Linked DNA regions of Callithrix jacchus. The protein of the gene in region 1 purifies or fractionates together with the protein of each later gene. This does not show direct contact. Links are inferred from orthologs where the notes say so. Each region holds a gene or a part of one and is shown on either strand. Other genes may lie near its edges.

The links. Proteins that work in one complex are often made in the same cells at the same time.
Region 2: the proteins of WAS (region 1) and NCK1 purify together in Homo sapiens (affinity purification with western blotting; 4 studies listed by BioGRID and IntAct, with this or other methods). This does not show direct contact. The link is inferred for Callithrix jacchus from reciprocal best matches to the Homo sapiens genes WAS and NCK1.

Annotation. Positions count from the first base shown.
Region 1 is NC_133524.1:49,253,180-49,260,189, forward strand, and holds part of WAS (actin nucleation-promoting factor WAS), read left to right. Parts: intron 1-470; exon of another isoform or gene 471-605; intron 606-1,235; coding exon 1,236-1,322; intron 1,323-1,422; coding exon 1,423-1,525; intron 1,526-1,638; coding exon 1,639-1,680; intron 1,681-1,773; coding exon 1,774-1,827; intron 1,828-2,618; coding exon 2,619-2,793; intron 2,794-3,848; coding exon 3,849-3,891; intron 3,892-4,091; coding exon 4,092-4,245; intron 4,246-4,453; coding exon 4,454-4,860; intron 4,861-5,437; coding exon 5,438-5,552; intron 5,553-7,010. UniProt on the Homo sapiens protein: Effector protein for Rho-type GTPases that regulates actin filament reorganization via its interaction with the Arp2/3 complex. Important for efficient actin polymerization. Possible regulator of lymphocyte and platelet function.
Region 2 is NC_133518.1:47,382,852-47,387,107, reverse strand, and holds the start of NCK1 (SH2/SH3 adapter protein NCK1), read left to right. Parts: upstream 1-1,456; 5' UTR 1,457-1,540; exon of another isoform or gene 1,541-1,975; intron 1,976-2,283; exon of another isoform or gene 2,284-2,388; intron 2,389-3,762; exon of another isoform or gene 3,763-3,930; intron 3,931-4,256. UniProt on the Homo sapiens protein: Adapter protein which associates with tyrosine-phosphorylated growth factor receptors, such as KDR and PDGFRB, or their cellular substrates. Maintains low levels of EIF2S1 phosphorylation by promoting its dephosphorylation by PP1.

The sequences.
Region 1 (7,010 bases):
GTCAAATCTGTGTCCATCTGTGTCCATCGCCCCAAGACCTCAGACCTGATTAATGAATCCCTGAGCCCCAGAACCAAAGACTCAGCCAGATGGCAAACTGTAGCTTGCCTTTCTAAGTCTACAATGACTGGCCTCAGCCTCCATATCAAAATCTCTAAAGCCCCCCAATTATTAGTATACTGCCTAAGCCTAATCTTTTCTACAAATTCCAAGAAATGAGCACTGTATTTATACCTGAATCTATTCTAAACTCAACATTTTGCATCCCAGGAATCCTTCATCAAAACTCTTGAACCCCAGATGTTTGCCAAGCTCCTAAGTCATAAATCAGTTCCCCAAACCCCAAACTTGAATATTCCATTGATCCTTGAACTCCACATCTGTCCTTTTAAATCCACAGCACAGACCCCAGAGTTCCCATATTAAAATTCCTGAACACTCAAATACCAAGGTAGTTTTTTTTTTTTAACCTATGTGTCCAAGGCATGAACCAGGCATAGGCACAGATCAAGAGCCAAGCTGGGATGAACAAGGGGTTGCTTTGTCCCTGGCTGATATGAGATGGGCACTACCAACCAGATGCCACTCTACCCAGGTCAGGGACACAAGGTAGTTCTTAAGAAAAAAGTCTTTTTCACAATCCCCCAACCTGAACTTTCTAGGTTTAAGCCCCAAATTCATCCTTCTAAACCCATAAAGATGGACTCAGCATAACTTCAAGATCCCAAGCCTGTCAAAGCTTGACCAAACTCCTAAGCCATGACTCTTCTCCACAAACCCCAAATTGCACTTACTTTAGCTGGACTCCCCACAAAACTCCCAAATCTATGTGTTTGAACTTCAAATCTCAACTCTAACTCCCAAATACCAGAATCCTACCTGTCATTAATTGGGGCTGGGGTGGCAGGGAAGGGCACAGATTGAGTCTCTGAATGAGTCTCAACTTCCTAAGACTAGAGTCCTAAATTATGAAATTCAAGCTCCCGAGTCCCACATCTAGGGCCCTGAACCCCAAATCCAAACCTCTCACAAAAGTGTCTGACTCCTAGATTGTACCCCAACTCCCCACATCCACACTGTTAGATTCCCCAGCTCTCTGGTACTGAGCTAAAAATCTCCAAACCAGACTATGAGACCCCCAAATCCAGACACCCTGCTCCCTGCCCAGCTAACAAAGGCCTGCCACCCCCGGCTTGCCTCAGTGCCACTGTGTCTCCCACCCTACACCTCTCCAGGCTGGTCGGCTTCTCTGGGAACAGGAGCTGTACTCACAGCTTGTCTACTCCACCCCCACCCCCTTCTTCCACACCTTCACTGGAGATGTAAGTGACCAACCAGCCCTTGAGCCTCACTTGGGTTTTGGAGAGGAGATGGGAAAGCTGCGGGGGACCTGGGAGGTGGCTGACCCCAAGGTATGTGCAGGACTGCCAAGCGGGGCTGAACTTTGCAGACGAGGGCGAGGCCCAGGCCTTCCAGGCCCTGGTGCAGGAGAAGATACAAAAAAGGAATCAGAGGCAAAGTGGAGGTGAGGAGGCTGCAGGGGAGGAAAGGAAATTGGGCAGAAGTGAGTGTAAGTATGGGAAACTAGAAAAGTCTCCTCTCATGGTTTTCACTCCCAATCCATCTGTCTATCCACAGACAGACACCAACTACCCCCACCACCAACACCAGCCAATGAAGGTGAGTCCTCTAGTACAAGTAGGGGTAATAAGGGGCTATCCCAAGAACCTGTGGCAGAGTTGTGATAGCTCTTGACACATCCCATCTTCCCAGAGAGAAGAGGAGGGCTCCCACCCCTGCCCCCACACCCAGGTGGAGACCAAGGAGGTGCGTGCTGATTCTTCCCTGTGTCTCTGGATGGATGGGTGGGTAGGTGGAAGAGTGGATGGAGGAATGAGCAGTTGGATGGGTGCCTAAGTGGGTGAATGGATGGGTATGTGGATGGATGAGTGGGTGCATGGATGTGGGGATCGATGGACGGGTGGGTGGATTCGTGGCAGATGGCTGAGTGGAGGGATGAATTGATGGGAGGATGAAAGTCTAAGTAGATAGATAGATGCATAAGTGGGCCGGGCGCTGTGGCTCACGCCTGTAATCCTACCACTTTGGGAGGCCGAGGTGGGTGGATCACCTGAAGTCAGGAGTTCAAGACCAGCCTGGCCATCATGGTGAAACCCCATCTTAAAAAAAAAAAAAGATAGATGCATAGGTGAATGGGTATGTGGATAAATGAATGAAAGGGTGTATGGATGACTGAGTAAATTCGTGAATGAGTGAATGAATGAACAGTGAATAAACGAGTACAAGACAAATTTGGTCAGTGAAGAAAGCAGGATGAATAAATAAATCAGTAAATGAAAATGTTAACAAATTCATTAGTCAGTGAGCCAGTGAATGATAAACCATGAGGGAATGAAAATAATGAATGAATCAGTGAATGTATGAATGGTTTGCAGGATCCACTCACTTCTCTATAGACCCTCCTTGAACCCTTCACCCACTCCCTCCATGACCATCCAACACACACACAGATTTCCCCAAGGCTTCTGTTTCTTGCCCCTATGCTTTGGTTGGTTGGTAAGTGGGTCAATGGGCCAACCACCCTATTTTCCCCACAGGCCCACCTGCTGGTCCGCTGTCCCTGGGGCTGGCGACAGTAGACATCCAGAACCCTGACATCACAAGTTCACGATACCGTGGACTCCCAGCACCTGTACCTGGCCCAGCTGATAAGAAACGCTCAGGGAAGAAGAAGATCAGCAAAGCTGATATTGGTGCACCCAGTGGATTCAAGTGAGAATCACTCCCCAGTGGGCCCATAGATTCCTGGGGCAGAGGGGCACATAAACAAGTGAACAGCTGAGTGGATGGAAGGATGGGCAGATGGCTGGGTGACTGGGTGGGTAAATAAGTGGATGGATAGGTAGGTGTAGGGCTGGGTCTAGAGAGAGGTAAATAAGGCAGTAAGTGTGAAAAATTTAAGGAGGTATTCACTCTTAGGAGCATGCAACTGTAATTCCTGACTCACTTAAATTTTACACCTCAGGCACCTCACTTGCCTCACCCTGGGCCCACTCTGAGTGGGCTGTTAGAGGAGAAGATGGGTGGGCAGGTGGATGAATGGATGAATAGATGAGGTAGATGATGGATGAGGTGGGCTGGTGGGTAGGTGGCTGAGTGGATGGGTGGATGGATGCATAAATGCATGGAAGAATGAATAGGTTGAAGAATGAATGGATAAGTGGTTGGATGGACGGGTTGATGGGTTGATGGGAGGTGGGTGAGTAGATGGATGGGTGAGTGGATGAGTGTGTGGACAGACTGATATGCAGGCTGACTGGTTCACAGACAAGGTGGATGGTGATGGACAGGTGGATAGATAGGTGGATGAATGGACAGTTCAATGGATAAGTGAACAGAAGTGTGTGGTTGCATGGGTAGAAAAATGAGTGAGTGGATGGATGGAAAAGTGGCACATGGGTAGGTAGATGGACAAGTGTGTGTGAGGACAGATTGGTAGACAAATGGGTGAACAGACATATGTGGGCAGACAGTTGCAGAAACAGATGTATGGGTGGATCAGTGGTCCAACAGATTAATGTGAATGAATAGGTGGACACATGCATGGGTGAATAGATGAGGAAAGAGGGATGGATGGATTGGCACCACAAACTATGGATCCCTTCTAATTCCATAACTCCTGCTCATACTCATTCACTCATTCAGTCTCATTTGTTAATTCTGGTCCCTCAGAGTCTTTCTGGGCAGGAGAGGACAAGAGGGCTTCACTACAAAGGGAGGGAAGGAGGGGCACTGAGGATTCACTGGAGTCTCTTCACCTCTTTCAGGCATGTCAGTCACGTAGGGTGGGACCCCCAGAATGGATTTGACGTGAGTAACTTCAGAATCTCTTGGACTCCACTAAACTACCCACCCTTCCACAGACCACTGCTGAAACCCCACTCCTAGACTCTGCCCTTCCCACCCGCTCTCAGATCCCTCGCTGGGATGGACCTGATGGACAATTCGTGTTGATTTTCTCCTCACCTTATTCCTCTACTCCTGCCCCTGGCCTTTTTCCTCCTGGGCAGGTGAACAACCTTGACCCAGATCTGCGGAGTCTATTCTCCAGGGCAGGAATCAGCGAGGCCCAGCTCACTGACGCCGAGACCTCTAAACTTATCTACGACTTCATTGAGGACCAGGGTGGGCTGGAGGCTGTGCGGCAGGAGATGAGGCGCCAGGGTGAGCCCCTGCTTCTATATGCCCCTTTCTCCAGCCCTAGCAGCTCACAGCTAAGAGATTCACTAAGTCACTCTATCCTTATGGGAGCACCTATACCGTTTAAATCAGGAGTTGGTCGTGGGGGGGATCCCATTTTAAAAATGAGCAAAACTAAGGCTCAGAAGGTATCAGTGAGAGTTACAGCTATGTGTTATTCCCCCCTCCACAGAGCCGCTTCCACCACCCCCACCACCATCTCGAGGAGGGAACCAGCCCCCCCGGCCCCCTATTGTGGGGGGTAACAAGGGTCGTTCTGGTCCACTGCCCCCTGTACCTTTGGGGGTTGCCCCACCTCCACCAGCGCCCCGGGGACCCCCACTCCCAGGCCGAGGGGGCCCTCCACCACCACCTCCTCCAGCCACTGGACGTTCTGGACCACTGCCCCCTCCACCCCCTGGAGCTGGTGGGCCACCCATGCCACCGCCACCGCCACCACCACCACCTCCGCCCAGCTCCGGGGATGGACCAGCCCCTCCCCCACTCCCTCCTGCTCTGGTGCCTGGTGGGGGCCTGGCCCCTGGTGGGGGTCGGGGAGCACTTTTGGATCAAATCCGGCAGGGAATTCAGCTGAACAAGGTGAGGACAGGCAAGATGGAGGATTGGGGGTCTGGGACTCTGGGGTGTCCTTTGCAAGTCAAGATACTGGGGGACTGAGGCCAGGACCGAGGAGAGTGCCAGGCCTTGGGGATTCAGTGATAGAGTTGAAAAGTTGCCGGGCACAGTGGCATGTGCCTGTAGTCCCAGCTACTTGGGAGGCTGAGATGGGAGGATCACTTGAGCCGAGGAGTTCTGGGCTGTAGTGCGCTATGCTGATCGGGTGTCCGCACTAAGTTCAGCATCAATATGGTGACCTCCCAGGAACGGGGGACCACCAGGTTGCCTAGGAGAGGTGAACTGGCCCAGGTGGGAAACGGAGCAGGTCAAAACTCCCGTGCTGATCAATAGTGGGATCGTGCCTGTGAATAGCCACTGCACTCCAGCCTGGGCAACATAGTGAGACACCATCTCTAAAAAAAAAGAAAAGAAAGAAAAGTTGATGGGGAGCCTTGAAGGGGACTGGAGTGTGTGGAAGGGAAAATAATGATGGAGGGGCAGGGAGAAATGCTCCTTTCCCAGGCCCTGAACCCTCTGTGCTGACCCCTGCCTGCTGCAGACCCCTGGTACCACAGAGAGCTCAGCACTGCAGCCACCACCTCAGAGCTCAGAGGGACTGGTGGGGGCCCTGATGAATGTGATGCAGAAGAGAAGCAGAGCCATCCACTCCTCCGGTGAGTTGATCCTGCCAGGGCCTCAAACCTGGCTCCCAGGGCTAGCACTGGCCTCAAAACAATCCCAGCAGTCACCACCAATACTGACATTAGTCCCATCTGTTGACAGCATTAACATGAATCTTGTGTCAGTCTCCTTTTTGACAATGTTAACATTAAGTCATTATGTGACAATAATATAATTAACTCCAACTTTGACAATAATATTAACATTAATGCCAGGGTGTGTCCACAATATTAAGGTTATTCCCTTATGTTCAGTAACATCAGCTGGCCGGGCACGGTAGCTCATGCCTGTAATCCAGGAACTTTGGGATGTCAAGGCAGAAGGATCCCTTGAGCACAGGAGTTCGAGACCAGCCTGGGCAATATAGTAAGACCTCGTCTCCACAAAAACTAGAATTTTAAAAAAGTAGTTGGGCATAGTGGCAAGTACCTGTGGTCCCACCTACTTGGGAGGCTGAGGTGGGAGGATTGCTTGAGCCTGGGAGGTCAAGGCAGCAGTGATCCATGATTGTGCCACTGCATTCCAGCCTGGGTGACAGAGATCTTATCTCAAAAAAAAGAAACATTAACCCACTATGTGATGAAAATATTATGAAGAACACCATTGTTGACAATAATATTAACTTTAAGTCCACGTGTCAACAGATTTATATTAATTCATTATGAGATAATAATCTTATAATGTAATATTTTTTCTTAAATGCTTTGAGACAGGGTCTTGCTCTGTGTCCCAGGCTGGAGTACAGTGGTGCAATCATGGCTCACTGCAGCCCCAACCTCCCAGGCTCAAGCGATCCTCCTGCCTCAGCTCCCAGAGTAGCTGGGACTACAGGCATGGACCACCATACCCAGCTCATTTTTGATGCTTTTTTGGTAGTGATGAGAGCTCACTATGTTGCCCAGGTTGTTCTGCAACTCCTGGGCTCAAGTGATCTGCCCACCTCAGCCTCTCAGAGTGCCGGGATTACAGGCATGAGCCATCATGCCTGACTGTTAACCTTATCTTTTTATGATAATGTTACTATTACTCTCTTAATGTGTCAGTAATACTGTCACTAATCATTATATGATGATAATATTAATCTCAACCCACTAAATGATAATAATACAATTAACTCCAATTTTGACATTAATGTTAACAACATTAACCACAGTGTGTCCACAGATTAAGGTGAATCTATTATATGACAATATTATAGGAACTTCATCTTTTGACAATGATTTTTTTTTTTTTGAGACAGACTCTTGCTCTGTGACCCAGGCTGGAGTGCAGTGACACGATCTTGGCTCACTGCAGCCTCTGCCTCCTGGGTTCAAGCTATTCTCCTGCCTCAGCCTCCTGAGTAGCTGAGACTACAGGTGCACCACTACGCCCAGCTAATTTTGATAATGTTATTGTCATTAACCTCATTATGTGTCAAAAATATTAGCATTAACCAGACAAAAAACAAT
Region 2 (4,256 bases), on another chromosome or scaffold:
AACAGACACGGTTCCTGATTCAATGGAGTTTACAATCCACGTAGGGATACAGACAAACCATTTCAATAGCTCGGATGGAGAAAATACCTGTGCTCAAGGATACCTAACTCGGCAAGCTTCCCTGAGGAGCGACCCTAAACTGAACCACAAAGATGGTTAAGAAGAAATGAGGCAGCAGGGTGTGGTGGCTCATGCCTGTAATCTCAGTACTCTGGGAGGCCGAGACAGGCGGATGAGAAGGTCAAGAGATGGAAATCATTCTGACCAACATGGTGAAACCCCGTCTCTAATAAAAATACAAAAATTAGCCGGGCGTGGTGACGCGTGCCTGTAGACCCAGCTACTAGGGAGGCTGAGGGAGAGAATCGCTTGAAACCAGAAAGCGGAGGTTGCAGTGAGTCGAGATCGCGCCACTGCTCTCCAACCTGGCGACAGAGCGAGACCCCGTCTAAAAAAAAAAAAGGTTACTACGGTTTGCAGCACACTTACTGATGCTTCAGCCAGTGGCTGGAAACCTTATAACAGGCAGACCTAGCTCCGAAGATCCTCTTCATAACACTACTGTCGCCAAGACTGGAAGCTGCCCAAGCACGAGGGTCCTTTTAGAGGGACCTCAGACTCAGTTTATTTTGGTCTGTGCCTCAAATTAAACACAAGTCGGCCTGGCGCCGTGGCTCACGCCTGTAATCCCAGCACTTTGGGAAGACGAGGCAGGCGGATCACGAGGTCAGGCGATCAAGAGCATCTCAGCCATGGTGAAATCCCGTCTCTGCTAAAACACAAAAAATTAGCCGGGCGTGGTGGAGGCGCGCGCCTGTAGTCCCAGCTACTCAGGAGGCTGAGGCGGGGAATCGCTTGAACCCGGGAGACGGAGGTTGCAGTGAGCCGAGATCACGCCACTGCACTCCAGTCTGGGCGACAGAGCAAGACTCTGTTTCAAAAAAAAAAAAAAAAAAAAAGCCACATGTCTTACATTTCTCCCAGGTCCCAATTTTCAGGTCTTTTTATTTGTTTTTCTTTGTCCCTCCCTGCTCCTAAGCACCTTCGGCTGGGAAGACATTCTTCAGGTGCAGAAACCAGGGGGAGGCTCCCTGAACAGTGGGGGTTAGCTCAGGACGCTGTCATTTTTGCTGTAGAGTCTCTCCTGCAGCGCTGGGGCGGAAGGCTCAAAGTAACCACCCAGAGCAACCGCAGAGGGAAAACCGAAGACAGTCGTGGTCTGGCCTACCGCTTCTCACCCTCTCGCTGTCTTCTTTCCGCCGCGCAGCCTCAGCTCTTTCCACAGTACGAACGGCGCTTGATTGACAAGTGGGCCCGCCCAATCCCAGTGCGGCACAGACCACTGTCGCGTCAAGGACCGGGAAAGGGGGCGACTGAACCTATCAGATTGGGTCGGGAGTGGGTTTCCTGCCCGCGCGGATCCGCCTGCCCACCGCGCGTGCCCCGCCCCTCTCCCGAGAGCTACGCGGCGGTAGAGCGCAGGCCTCGTGCCGTTACGGTCATCACGGCGACCGCGGCGGCGTCCCGGTGCCTTCCTCAGGTGAGCTGGAGCTAGCCGGCACGGAAGACGGAGGGTGAGATGGCCTTGCTGGGAGGCCGACACACACACACCCCCTCCTTCAGTCGGCTGTCCGTCCTCACAGCCTGTTACTCGCTGCGTCGCTTCCTCTTCCCCCGCTGAGTTAGCCCCGGGGGCGCCGTCTGCAGGCTCGGAGCTGAGCCGGAGGGGATGCGGAGGCTGCTCGGCGGGGCCCGGACGTCTGCACTGGGATTCCGCGAGACCCTTGGGGCTCTGCCCCAGGGAGCGCGAACCCGTGGCCTCCTTGTCAGCCCCTGGAGCGCTGCGTCGGGGTTAGAGCCCGGGCGACCGCCCCTGCGAGGCTGGGAGGTCGAGTGTGCGGCTCGCTCGCCGGCTTGTCTATTTTCTACTGAAAAAGTCCTGTTGCCAGCTGTGGCGTAATCCAAGACCGGGAAGGTAGGGACGTGGTAGAAGGGAGGGCGCTCTCACCTCCAGCCCGAGAGGAGGAGGGGGCGGCAGCCTGCGCGGTGCTGAGGGTGGACATATTCGGGACGCGCCCTCGCCCCTCCCCCTACCCGCCGGCGGTTTTCTGGTCCGGGGCTTTGACTTTAAACGTCTGGACCTGCTTCACATTCGTACGCGAGTTGCTGGGGGTGTAAACTTTTGACTTGAGTTGTAATATGTTTGGTAAAAAAATTATCTCGATAGTTTTGTAACATTTCTTGTATGTTAACGTATAAGTTAAATTTGCCGTTAGAAGCTCAGGAAGCTGGATTTGTTCAGGGCTGAGGACGTAACGGTAGGAAGGCTCTCGGTGTCAAATCGATGGATCTGGAGTCAACTGAAAATAATTCTACACGTTATATTAGGTAAGAAGCCTTAGGAATTGTGAAAGAATGAGGTTAAGAAGAATTTCCAACTCCTTTTTGGGAGGGGAGCAAAGCAGCTCAATGCCCCAAAACGGGTAAGTGTTGCCAAGAGGTCCTCATTTTTTTTTGGTTGTTGCTGATTTTTTTTTTTTTTTTTTTTTTTTTTGAGACAGAGTCTTGCTCTGTCGCCAGGCTGGGGTGCAGTAGCGCGATCTCGGCTCACTTGCAACCTCCGCCTCCCGAATTCAAGCGATTCTCCTGCCTCAGCCTCCCGAGTAGCCGTGCTACCGTCGCGGGCCATTACCACCCCCAGCTAATTTTTGTATTTTTAATAGAGACGGGGTTTCACCGTGTTGGCCAGATGATTTCCATCTTCTGACCTCGTGATCCGCCTGGCTCGGCCTCCCAAAATGCTGGGATTACAGGTGTGAGCCACCGTGCCCAGCCAAAGTACTCATTTTAAAAATCTTTCTTGGATAGACTTACGGCAAACCAACAATAATGATTTCTTCAGCACCTGGAAAGCGCTATGTCTAAACTCTCAGCCTTCAGCGAGGTCACACAGTAAATGGGGAAATAACCCAATAAGAAAGTTTTGTTTGTTTGGTAATTGTCAACGTTTGTTCTTTTCTTTTTTTAAAACACTTTATTTTCTTGTGGGGATGGAGTCAGTGATGTTCTTAAATAGGCATTCCATTCACAACTTGATAGTAATATGCACTGGTTAATAAATGGTACTTTCTTTTCATCTTGACCACAAGCTCTGAGGCTTTCTTCTTTGGGAAAATTATGGTCTGTGGGAATTGGCTCTAATATCCATAAAGATAGATTGCAGAGTGTTCAGATCTACTAGCTGTTGGTTCATGTATTAAATTTTTAAATGTGTACTTATTTTTCTAGGCATTATCTTTTGTCCAGGTTTCTGTAGTGCTTTCAGGTCCATGTAAATAAAACTTGAAACCTACCTGTAATGTTTTGTTAGTTACTGAATGAGACCAGGCGAGGTAGTTCAAGCCTGTAATCCCAGCACTTTGGGAGACCAAGGCGGGAGGATAGCTGGAGTCCAGGAGTTTGAGATCAGCCTGGGCGATATAGTGAGACTCTGTCTTTAAATTAGAAAATTAAAAAAAAAATTTAAAAAGGAAAATAAAAAGAAAAGTGATATTAAGTGATGCTTTGTGTTTCTTGGTTTCTTTGAGATGGAGAAACATAAAGACTTGCTCTGTTGCCCAGGCTGGAGTGCAGTGGCATGATCTTGGCTCATTGCAACCTCTGCCTCCTGGATTCAAGCGATTCCTATGCTCAGCCTCCCCAGTAGCTGGGACTACAGGTGTGTGCCACCACACCCAGCTAATTTTTTTTTTGTATTTTTAGTAGAGACGGGGTTTCACTATGTTGGCCAGGCTGATCTTGAACTTTTGACCTCAAATGGTCCGCCCACCTGGGCCTCCCAAAGTGCTGGGATTACAGGCGTGAGCCACCGTGCCTGGCTGAGTTTCTTTTTCTTTTGGATCTCTGAGGACTTTCCTTTCAAAGCTGAAGGTATGTTTGATGTGATTATTACAAATCACTTGTCAGGAAGAATTGACGTAATGAATACAGGTGCAGTTCATTTTTAAAATTATGGTTTAATAATTTTTAGAATTTACCTTTATAATATGGAAAAATACCATACATTCTTTATCTGTACTGGAAAATTAAATGATTATTTCATTGATAAGTAAAATTGAAGGGAACTCTTGAAATCACTGAGCATTTAACAAATTCTCTGTAAATACCTTGATGTTAAGAAGACCACAGGGCTAAATATGACATTTAAAGATTAAGACAACAGTTATGTCTGGCTGATCCTCACCTGAAACTGTAAC